Linked DNA regions of Sus scrofa. The protein of the gene in region 2 purifies or fractionates together with the protein of the main gene of each other region. This does not show direct contact. Links are inferred from orthologs where the notes say so. Each region holds a gene or a part of one and is shown on either strand. Other genes may lie near its edges.

The links. The genes of interacting proteins can lie anywhere in the genome.
Region 1: the proteins of ASPH (region 2) and LRRC59 purify together in Homo sapiens (co-immunoprecipitation; 3 studies listed by BioGRID and IntAct, with this or other methods). This does not show direct contact. The link is inferred for Sus scrofa from reciprocal best matches to the Homo sapiens genes ASPH and LRRC59.

Annotation. Positions count from the first base shown.
Region 1 is NC_010454.4:26,690,776-26,696,906, reverse strand, and holds the start of LRRC59 (leucine-rich repeat-containing protein 59), read left to right. Parts: upstream 1-2,639; 5' UTR 2,640-2,846; coding exon 2,847-2,951; intron 2,952-4,714; coding exon 4,715-4,774; exon of another isoform or gene 4,775-6,046; coding exon of another isoform or gene 6,047-6,131.
Region 2 is NC_010446.5:72,048,251-72,053,611, forward strand, and holds part of ASPH (aspartyl/asparaginyl beta-hydroxylase), read left to right. Parts: intron 1-757; coding exon 758-908; intron 909-4,456; coding exon 4,457-4,593; intron 4,594-5,361.

The DNA.
Region 1 (6,131 bases), on a different chromosome or scaffold from region 2:
ATATAAAAATTTGGGTGTTTCCCTCAACCAGCTATGTGATTGAGGTCAATTTATTCCTCCTTCATAAAAGGGATATAACAATAAAATGTGCCCCATGGTCTCTTCATATGCAGAATCAAAATAAGAATGGGTGCTCAAGGAATTCCCATTGTGGCTCAGTGGGTTGAGAACCCGACATTGTGTCCCTGAGGATGCAGGTTTGATCCCTGGCCTTGCTCAGTGGGTTAAGGATCCAGTGTTGCCGTAAACCACCACCTAGGTTGAGGATGTGCTTGGATCTGGCATTGCTGTGGCTGTGGCATAGGCTCCAGTTGCAGTTCCAATTCCACCCCTATCCTGGGAACTTCCGTATGCCACAGGTGCGTTTCTAAAAAGAAAAAAAGAATGGATGCTCAAGGGCTTTAGAGGTTGCCCAGTGCTAATATAGCATTACCCCAACTGCCTTTGTCTATTTCCCAGGAGCCCAGAGTATTGTGCCTTCCTAGGGATGGGGAGCAGTACGCACAATGATTTGTTAATTGAGTAGGCCCCTGAACTGACTTCATTGGTTCTTCATAGATCCCCTCTCCATTTCGAAAATAAGACAGGAGTTCCCATCGTGGTACAGTGGGTTAAAGATCCAGCGTTCCCATGAGCTGTGGTATAGGTCGCAGACATGGCTCGAATCTGGCATTGCTGTGGCTGTGGCTGTGGCCGGCAGCTGTAACTCTGATTCGACCCCTAGCCTGGAAACTTCCATATGCCTTGTGTGCAGCCCTAAAATGCAAAAACAAAACAAAACAAAAATAAGCCAACTGAAGTCTGGAGTGGGTGACGTGTTTCATGCATTCATTCGACAGATTTTTTTTTTTTTTTTTGTCTTTTTGCCTTTTCTAGGGCTGCTCCCATGGCATGTGGAGGTTCCCAGTCTAGGGGTCTAATCAGAGCTGTAGCTGCTGGCCTACGCCACAGCCACAGCAACGCGGGATCTGAGGCGCGTCTGCAACCTGCACCACAGCTCACAGCAACGCTGGATCGTTAACCCACTGAGCAAGGGCAGGGATTGAACCCGCAACCTCGTGGTTCCTAGTCGGATAAGTTAACCACTGAGCCACAGTGGGAACTCTCAACAGACTTTTGAATGAGCAGCTACCCTGGATCAGACACTGGGAATGCAAAGGCGAAACCCCTGCCATCACAACCCATTAGGAGGAAAGTCGCACAAAGGTAAGTATAACGGTGGATTAGGAGTGAAAGCTAGTATTGACTGGGTACTTACTAAGTGCCAGACACTGATGTAAGTTCTTCATGTATTTTACTAATTCAGTCCTCCTCAAACTCTATCAGCCGGGTACCATTATAATGCTTGTTTGTAGGTAATGTATGGTGACTGCTTAAGGATTCATAAACCCCAGGGAAGGTTTCCTGAAGGACTAGGAATTAGCTAGGTAGCAAAGGTAGGTCGGAAGGCAGGGCCATTCCAAGACCAGGGAAGGTGTGGATGCCACCTACTGGAAGTCTCTGAAGTATCCCTGGCTGGGGCCAGGGCTTGTCAGAAAGTTGCAGGAACACACAGGATTCAGTCTAGAAAAGAGAGTGGTCCATATCCTACAGACAGCTGGAGGTTTGAAGGGTTTTAAGCAAAGGAGAGACTTGGCTAGATTTTTAGAAATATCATGTGGGCAGCTGGGTGGAGGTGGATGAGAGGTAGAGACACTGTGAGTAGTAATCCAGGCGTAAGTTGCTGGTCCCAGGGCTTGGGGAGGTAAGGAGGAGGTGAGAGAGAGAGGCAAAGTTTTCCGGACGATGATGATGATTTGGGGATTGTTAGTTAAATAGGGGACAGAGCAATTTTGAAGGACATCTAGTTTCTGCTCCTAATCCAGAAGAATGGGGAAAATCTGGTGAGGTAAGTTTTGGATGTGAGCTCCTCCAGCCCCCAGCCTTTTTTTTTTTTTTTTGTCTTTTTGCTATTTCTTGGGCCGTTCCCGCGGCATATGGAGGTTCCCAGGCCAGGGGTCCAATCGGAGCTGTAGCTGCCGGCCTAGCCTAGGCCAGAGCCACAGCAATGCAGGATCCGAGCCGCGCCTGCAACCTACACCACAGCTCACCGCAACGCCGGATCGTTAACCCACTGAGCAAGGGCAGGAACCGAACCCGCAATCTCATGGTTCCTGGTCGGAACCACTGCGCCACGACGGGAACTCCAGCCCCCAGCCTTTTTGCCTTCTGGCGTTGCCTGAGGCTACTGCCAGCCGGCGCCCTTCCCGCCACCCGGATACCCAGCTGCTCAGGGGGCGGGCAACAGAAAGAGCCTGAACCAGGAGTTCCCATTCTGGCGCAGAGAAAACCAATCCGACTAGTATTCCTGAAGACACGGGTTCCAACCCGCTCAGCGGGTTGGGGATCTCGCGTTGCAGTGAGTTGTGGTGTAGGTCGCAGACACGGCTGGGATCCCGCGTTACTGTGGCTGTGGCATGGAGAACTTTCATATGCCGCGGATGCCCTAAAAAAAAAGAGCCTGAACCGGCGCCCTCGGCCGTGCCCGGGACAGCAGTGCGCCATCCTGTGCGCCAGAGGGCGCTCCCGAACATGCTCTGGCCGCTCTGGCCCAGCCTGTCTCAGTGGCCGCGGAAGGTGACGTGGACACGGAAGTGGTCGTCGTCGCGGCGGCACCGGTGGGAACGGGGTGCGGGGCTCAGAGTGCGGCCGGCGGGCGGACGGTCGGCGGTGATCTCGCACCTGCGGCGGCGGGGGACGTAGGCTTTGTCGGTTGAGTGCGCGTCCCCTCAGTCCACGAGCGGCTTCTCAGCCTTTCTCCTGCCCGTCGGAGCCCCGGGGCCGGGACCCGTTCAGCCGGCGTCACCATGACCAAGGCCGGTAGCAAGGGCGGGAACCTCCGCGACAAGCTTGACGGCAACGAGCTGGACCTGAGCCTCAGCGACCTGAATGAGGTCCCTGTCAAGGAGCTGGTCAGTACGGTCCCTCGAGGCCCAAGGCGCCGGTCCTCGACTGGCGCTGGCCCCTGGTGGGGGGGGGTCTCCTTCCTTCCCAAGCTTCAGTTTCCATGGCTTAAAACGAGGTGGGGGAAGTGGGACTAAGTCCTCGGGGAGGCCGCGTCCAGCCCCAGCGTTCTTCCTGGGATGTACACGTGTCACTTTGGCGCAGGTCCAGAAGATGGGAGGTTAGCTGCTGGTGTAGCCATGGGCTTTTTACGGGTCAGGAGTGAATCTTCGTGCATTTCAAGAGCTTTCAGGGAACTTCGCTCCGTGCCCGACCCAGAGTAGGCGCCCACGGAGAGATTGCTTGATGTTTTGGGAGAATGAATGAACAAATGAATGAGTGACTCGTCAGAGTAGGCCTCCGGGTAGACCTGGGTGTGGCTCAGAACCAGGCCTTTCTAGGAAGCGACCAATCCCAGCTGGCTGTCCCAGCCTTGAGGCGTCCTTCCTTGAGAGTGAAATGTCACTGCTTGGTTGGCAAGGTCTCTTCCCAACTCTGAAACTGGCGGGAATCTGCACCAGGGTGGCCCCCCCCCCCCCACTCCCACAACCAGGAAAACAGGCTGAGGCCCAAGGGACATTACCTGACTAGTTTGTTGCCAAAGTGAAGTTAATGTACATCCTTGCTTTGCCCACCTAGTTCCCCACCCTTATCCCCCACAGTAGCGTCGCTTTGGATGACCTGCACTTTCGTCACTGTCTCTAACTGATCATATTTGCTTTTGGCACTTGGCCCAGTCTTCCCTCCACCTTGGCTGTGTAGTATCCAGGTTAGAATGGGATTCCCAGTTCGTAGATCAGCTGTATTGCTTAATGGCTTAGTACCCTTGGCAGGCTAGTTAACCTTTGAGCCTAGATTATCCTCCTTTATAACACGGTGATAGTTGTTGCTATCTCATAGGGCTGTTGGGAGGACTAAATACAATTGTAATGTAAACTACTTGGCAGGTAGCAAATGCTCATACATGTAGGTATTACCAAGGTGTGCTTCCCATTGTAATAGCTCAAACTTTTTTAGGTCGTCAGATGTCATTCTTGGGACTTTCTGACATTTGGAAAGTGCAGAGTTGACCCAATATCCTTAACCGAATATTTGCCTTCTTCCTGGCCCCAGGAAGATGGCCAGCCATGTGTCAGCCTGGCCCTAGGACTGCCATCTGAAAGCACTTACTCCAGGCATCTGGTTGACACAACATCGCCCCCGGGAGACGGAAGGATTAGTTTTGCTGAGCTTCTCCAAGCTGAACCCCATGGGAAAACAGAGCTGGGATGTGAGGGCCTTATTTTACTTTGCACTCACTCATGTACTCATTCATTCAGTCGTGGATCAGCCAACGGGTATATGGAGAAGAGCCTTGACCTAGAGAATATGGAAATCACAAAGCTGTTTGACAGAGTCCCTGCCCTGAACCTAATCGGGAGCAGTACTAGAGGGAATAGTAGGAGTGCCATGGAGAATTTCTAAGAATCTGTTTTCCTTTCTTGGAAAGGAATCCCTGCTCTTTGCATTCATCTCTCTGTCCTGGTTGACTCTGACTGGCTTATTTTGCCTTTCCTGTCTCCAGGAACATTATACTTTAGAGGTTTTTTTTTTTTTTTTTTTTTTTTTTTTTTTTTTTTTTTTAAGGTCTTTTCTAATCGTGGGGACTTTCTCTGGAAATTGCTTCATTAGCAGATGTCACTGAATTGTTCCATGTGTTGATCTGACGTTTTGTTCTCATTCCCTTTCCTAGGCTGCCCTCTCCAAGGCCACCATACTGGATCTGTCCTGCAATAAACTGACTACTCTACCGGTAAGACTGGCAGGGAGCCTTCATGCTTCTCCTTCTTATTTGGCGGAGTTACATCATAAGGCATAATTTCAGGATAGGCCTGCCAGCAGGCTACCACTAAATTGGAGTGTGTTGGGGGTAGAAGCGGGGAGGTTCATCTCAGTAGGAAGGGAAGCATGGTAGAGGCCGCTTTCTTTAAGAACAGTGGGAAAGTCAGGCCACCAAAAACGAAAGTCACCAGAACATTTGGCTGAGTCGCTTGTTGGGGTCATGTTTTTTTTCCTGCCTTATTTTATTCCTTTGAGAAATAGTTTACCTCCCTATTGCAGTAGAAGAGGCAAGAGACGATTCTGTAAGTTGCTCTGCATTCCAGAGAGAATGCTGTTTCTGAACAGCCTCTCCGTGCATCTTTTGATGGGGAATGGGAAAAAGCATAGTTCTGTGGGACTTGCCATATCATCCTCCCGACACCTGAATTACTTGAGATAATGTTTCCAGTCGAATCCTTCTGATTTTTCTTGTGCAACTTCTCCTGCTTCTTTTGCTCCACCTGTGAAAGCGTAGGAGTCATTCAGCCCCCTCGACCTCTCCTGGGTATGGGCTGGTTTCTCCTCCATGGCGGTGGTCCTGCACCGTCAGGCCTAAGTTTGTTGTCATTATTGCCTTTTCCATCCATTACTCTGGCCGGTCCACTCTGCACCATACCCCGTCAGGCTCTGGCTCAGGAATTAAGTCCCAGAAGTTGGCAGTTGTTCATTGGATCATTAGTCCATTTCCATCTTACCATTCTCCTGGGCCTCACTTATTGTCTGTAACATCTTCCTGCAGCTCATCAAGAACTGTTTCTAACATTGGAAAAAAGCATCTAAGATCCCCCTTCTTCCAGGAAGTATTTTGTGTCTAGTTAAAGAAGGGCAGCCGTTCCTTGCAACCTGCCGGACACTTTGTCACATTGTCACTCGGCACCCCCAAGTGCACTTTGCAGTCTGAGTTTCTTCATTTGTCTTGCTCTCCTCTGCAGTACAGATCCACTGGCATTTACAGGTCCCCAGAGAACACAGCTAGTGCCTCATTAGCTGAGGGTGGAGCATCCCTTCAGCTGGGGGCTGAGCAAAGGCTTAATGACGAGAGGGATGTTTTGAACTGTGCTGAAGAAGAGCCAGCATATGGGTAGGATGGGCCCCAGCCCGCTGAGTCAGTCACTCAGAGAATGCTCCTTGGGCACCTGTACTAAGTACTGTGCTGGGTGCTGCAAAGAACAACAAAGAATAACACTAGGTACGCACGGGGCACATGATCTTTCTAGAAAAACGGATGGTTGCACCATGTTTGGACAGCTCCTATGAAAGGTGGCCACAGGGTGTTCTGGAGGATGGGT
Region 2 (5,361 bases):
GACTTACTCTGCTTAGTATCAGAATCTCTAGTTGCATCCATGTTGCTGCAAATGGCATTATTTTGTTCTTTTTTATGGCTGAGTAGTATTCCATTGTGTATATGTACCACATCTTCTTAACCCATTCATCTGTCAGTGGACACTTAGGTTGTTTCCATGTCTTCACCTTTGTAAATAGTGCTGCTATGAATATAGAGGAGCATATATCTTTTTGAATGATGGTTTTGTCCTGATATATGCCCAGGAGTGGGATTGCTGGATCATATAAATGGTAGCTCTATGTTCAGTTTTCCGAGGCACTTCCATGCCCTTCTCCATAGTGGTTATACTAGTTTACATTCCCACCAACGGTGTAGGATGGATGTCTTGGATGACTGCTCTTTTTTTTTTTTTTTTTTTTTTTTTTGGTCTTTTCTAGGGCCGCTCCTGCGGCATATGGAGGTTCCCAGGCTAGAGGTCTAATTGGAGCTGTAGCTGCCGGCCTACGCCAGAGCCACAGCAACACGGGATCCAAGCTGCGTCTGTGACCTACAGCACCGCTCAGGGCAACGCCGGATCCTTAACCCACTGAGCAAGGGCAGGGATCAAACCCGCAACCTCATGGTTCCTAGTCAGATTCATTAACCACTGGGCCACAATGGAAACTCCTCGGATGACTTTGAAAACATGTCCCAAAGCCAACTTTTCATAAATATTTTGGGTAACTGCAAAAATAGCTTGTCCTGGGACATTTATCCCGTGCCGAAACTTCCTCTAGTGTGAAGATGATTTGGCCGAGAAGAGGAGGAGCAATGAGATCCTGCGCAGGGCCATCCAGACCTACCAGGAAGCGGCCAGCCTGCCGGACGTCCCCGCAGACCTCGTGAAGCTGAGCTTGAAGCGACGGTCAGACAGACAACAGTTTCTAGGTGAGATGGCTAAGAATCTGCTCAGTAGCAAATGGTGCGCTTTTATCTTGAAAAGCCTGACGGCTGTGTGTACTTGTAGAAAAGTTTAGTTACATGGAAGGAAACCTGAGTATTATAACTCATTTCAGGCAGTTTATCTGATGGTGACAGACTGAAATAGCAATCCTAATCTTCATACTGGCAAAGATGCAGATGGTATTTTTGCCGCCAACCCACCCCACACACATTTTACAGATGAGGCAAATGGAATCTTGAGAGGTTGGATAATTTGCCTAAGGAATCATAGCTAATAAATTAATAGGTCTGGAATCAAGAGCTCCTCCTATCATCCCAAACTCTTCTCTTTCTGAACTATCACCAACTGGTTCACGGAGGCTAAAAGCATCAGTGCAGTAATTTTTTTTGTGGCCCCAGTCCCCCCGGGCCAGGGATTGAATCTAAGCCTCAGCCGTGACCTCTGCCTCAGTTGTGGCCACACCGGATCTTTTAACCCTGCTGCAGTCGGATTCTTCACCCACTGGACTACAGTGGAAACTCTGAGTGCAATAATTTTTCTGGAGGAATGGTGGTTCTAAGCCCTCTAAAAAAATTTTACCTGTTGGAGTTCCCGTCATGGCGCAGTGGTTAACGAATCCGACTAGGAACCATGAGGTTGCGGGTTCAGTCCCTGCCCTTGCTCAGCGGGTTAATGATCCGGCGTTGCCGTGAGCTGTGGTGTAGGTTGCAGACGCGGCTCGGATCCCGCGTTGCTGTGGCTCTGGCGTAGGCCTGCGGCTACAGCTCCGATTAGACCCCTAGCCTGGGAACCTCCATATGCCGCGGGAACGGCCCAAGAAACAGCAAAAAGACAAAAAAAAAAAAAAAAAAAATTACCTGTTGAGTTTTTTACTTTATACCGTAGAACATGATAGGGAAAAAATGTTCATCAACAAGCAAATTTGCAAATTCTTTGAACAGAGCCGCATAAAGCATCTACTCTGACTGACCCAGGTTCCCAGGGCCAAAGGCAAGCGAGACTCACTTTATTTTAACCAGGCTAGTGGTGGGTTCTCTCTCACCCAGAATGCCCTCAGTGTGCCGGGAGGGGAGACTAAAGCATGTGTAACTGCTCAGGTGGGCTCTCTGCTGGCTGGATAGGTTATGTAGGTGAATTATCTCAGTGTCACTAGAAGAGCCCCATGAAAGTAGTGTTCAAAGCCAACTGAACCTTGTATCAGTTTTCCGAGGGTTAGAATTAAAGGGAGTTGTGTCGCTTTGGTAGATGAGTTAGAAACTGGAAGAAATAGCCCATTAGACATATTCATAAGGGCTAGTCCAGGGGAAGAAAAATGCACAGCACACAGAGCGGATGGAAAAGGCAGGGCTGCGGCTCCATGCACGCACGCACCTTGGGTGCGCAATCAGTATCACCAAGCTGTCCTCTTTCCGCAGGCCTCTGATGTGGCTCTGTTTGGCACGGTGGGTTTTTTACATTAATTTTTATTTTTAAAAAGAATACATAGGTGTTCCTGTTGTGGCTCAGCCGGTTATGAACCTGACGAGTGTCCATGAGGATGCAAGTTTAATCCCTGGCCTCACTCAGTGGGTTAAAGATGCGGCATTGCCATGAGCCGTGGTGTAGGTCACAGACATAGCTCGGATCCCGCGTTGCTGTGGCTCTGGCGTAGGCCCGCAGCTGTAGCTCCAATTGGACCCCTAGCCTGGGAACCTCCATATACCGCAGGTACGGCCCTAAAGAAAGAAAGAAAGACGTAAAATATCTTTCATCTTGATTCCTGGATTTTTGGTGCCCTTTTATTAAACTCTGCACTAACTGTCAGCCTCATCACCCTATATAGCCCTGGAGAAAGATGACCTGTGAGTAGGTCTGACCTTCTTTCGAAACAGTCCTTCAATATTTGAATCTAGTCTTCTCTCTGAATGAGAATGAGACGGGGAGGGAATCCGACACAGACAAGGTGGTTCGTTCCTCGGAGGCAGCATGGAAGGAACAGGGAGCATGTGGCAGCAGGACAAAATCTCACCTGGGCCTTTGCTGTGGTTCAGCTGGGGGGAGTTTAGAGGCAGAAGGAAAGTGTGAGCCTAGGCTGGGCAGATGAGAAGGAAGGGTCCAGGGAGGGGGAGTCAGATTTATTCATGAAAGAAAGAATGGCTGAGCAAACCACCCTAGGTCGCCAGTAATGGAGAGTGGGTCATGGGGTAAAGTAGCGGTATTTTATGCCAGATAGGTTTTCTGTTAGTGAGGCATCTAACTGCAATTAGCTTTTTTTTTAAATTATTAACGTATAGTTGATTTACAGTGTTATGCCAATTTCTGCTATACAGCAAAGTGACCCAGTCATACCTGTGTATACATTCCCTTTCTTAGATTATCTTCCATCATGGTCTATCCCAAGAGAGCAGATAGAGTTCCCTGTGCCAGGCAGGAGGATCTCATTGCTTCTCCTTTTTAAATGTAATAGTTTACGTCTACTAACATCAAACTCTCAGTCCATCCCACTCCCCCCCCCCAAAAAAACCTAAATGCCATTTGCAGGCATGTGGATGCAACTAGAGATTCTCATACCAAGTGAAGTAAGGCAGAAAGAGAAAGACAAATACCGTATGATGTCACTTGTACATGGAATCTAAAATATGGCACAAACAATCCTATCTGCCTTAGCTTATTGATGGTCCTACCATCTTAGCTGATTTTCAGTTTGTCAGCAAAACCCTAGTGGTAATTAATCTCATTATGTATACTAGTCTCATTTGGAAAACTTTCTGTTATACTTGTCTTTCCAGCTATGATGAGGAGTAATGACGCCTGGCCCCTGAAATCTTAAATTCCATAAGAGAGCCTTAAAAATGAATTGAAGCTAGGTTTTCATGACATATGTGCGCATAGTATCTTATCGTCCACCAGAGGGCGCCCTAATACCGAACGATGCCTCCTTTGCCTCCATGACTAGGTCGAAACCCAGAGAGAGAGCACCTCAGTGCCTCCTCAGGTTCCATGGAGGGTGCTGGACCCTCTATGAAATCTATTAGATTTTTTTATTTACCTGTTCTCTATGCATAATTTTAAAGTTAGTCATAATAAACCAAAAATATCCCAGAAAAATACTTTTTAAGTAAGGACTTGATAACTGAAACTTTCTTAAGAAGGAATTTGACATCAAAGGATAAATGTTGATGATGAATTTAGAGAAAAAGAATATATATATATAATACATATAAAAAACTGGGTAACTTTGATGTGCAGCAGAAATTGACAGGACATTGTAAATCAACTATAGAAAAATTAAAAAGAAAAAGAAAATAAGAATGCCTTTAAAATATTTATCATCAGTATTATATTCAGTATCTTCTTATGGGAGCTACTGATGCTTTGGCAGCTGCAGAATGAAATCCTAATAGAGACTTAGCTGTCAGTATACAGTCAGATTTAAGCAGGTCTTCAGGCTCTGTTGAATAGTCTCTTATAATGTGTAGTCTCAATACAAAGGTGAACATAATCTGTCTTTATTTCTACTGTTTTTTTTTTTTTTTTCTTTCCACCGAATCAGGTCACATGAGAGGTTCCCTGCTTACTCTACAGAAGTTAGTTCAACTCTTTCCTGATGACACTTCCTTAAAGAATGACCTTGGCGTGGGGTACCTCTTGATAGGAGATAATGACAATGCCAAGAAGGTTTATGAAGCGGTGAGCAAGCAGCAATGTGCTATTAACTACATCGAATAATTTGAATATGAAGTTCTAATGTTACTTGCAAATTGCATTTAATTCTTCCTGTCTCTTACTCTATTTTATATTCAGTTAAATAGAATTTAAGTATTATTATGGTTGGCTATCCTAAGTTTTGTTTCATCCTTTCCCCACTTCATCAGAAGATTTTAGATTTTAGATGACCCTTGGTACATCAAAACCTTCAACTACAATTATGATATTTTAAAAAATGATGTATTTATCAGTCCACAAATAGGCTTTCTAAAAGTGTTCTTTATGATAGGAAGAGGAACTCAAAAGCTTGTGAACTTAAACTCATGACCTGAAAAACACATAATCTTGTTCTTCTTTTCACTCAAAGTCCAAACTAGAGAGAGACTACACAACACAAGACTTTCGGACCTATGGACTAAATCACTCACCTTTCAGAGGGCATTGACTGTTTGATCCTACAGCAAGGATACCTTTAAAAAAAAAAAGTCGGAGTTCCCGTCGTGGTGCAGTGGTTAACGAATCCGACTAGGAACCATGATGTTGCGGGTTCGGTCCCTGCCCTTGCTCAGTGGGTTAATGATCCGGCGTTGCCGTGAGCTGTGGTGTAGGTCGCAGACGCGGCTCGGATCCCGCGTTGCTGTGGCTCTGGCGTAGGCCGGTGGCTACAGCTCCGATTCGACCCCTAGCCTGGGAACCTCCATATGCCGCGGGAGCAGCCCAAGAAACAGCAAAAAGACAAAAAAAAAAAAA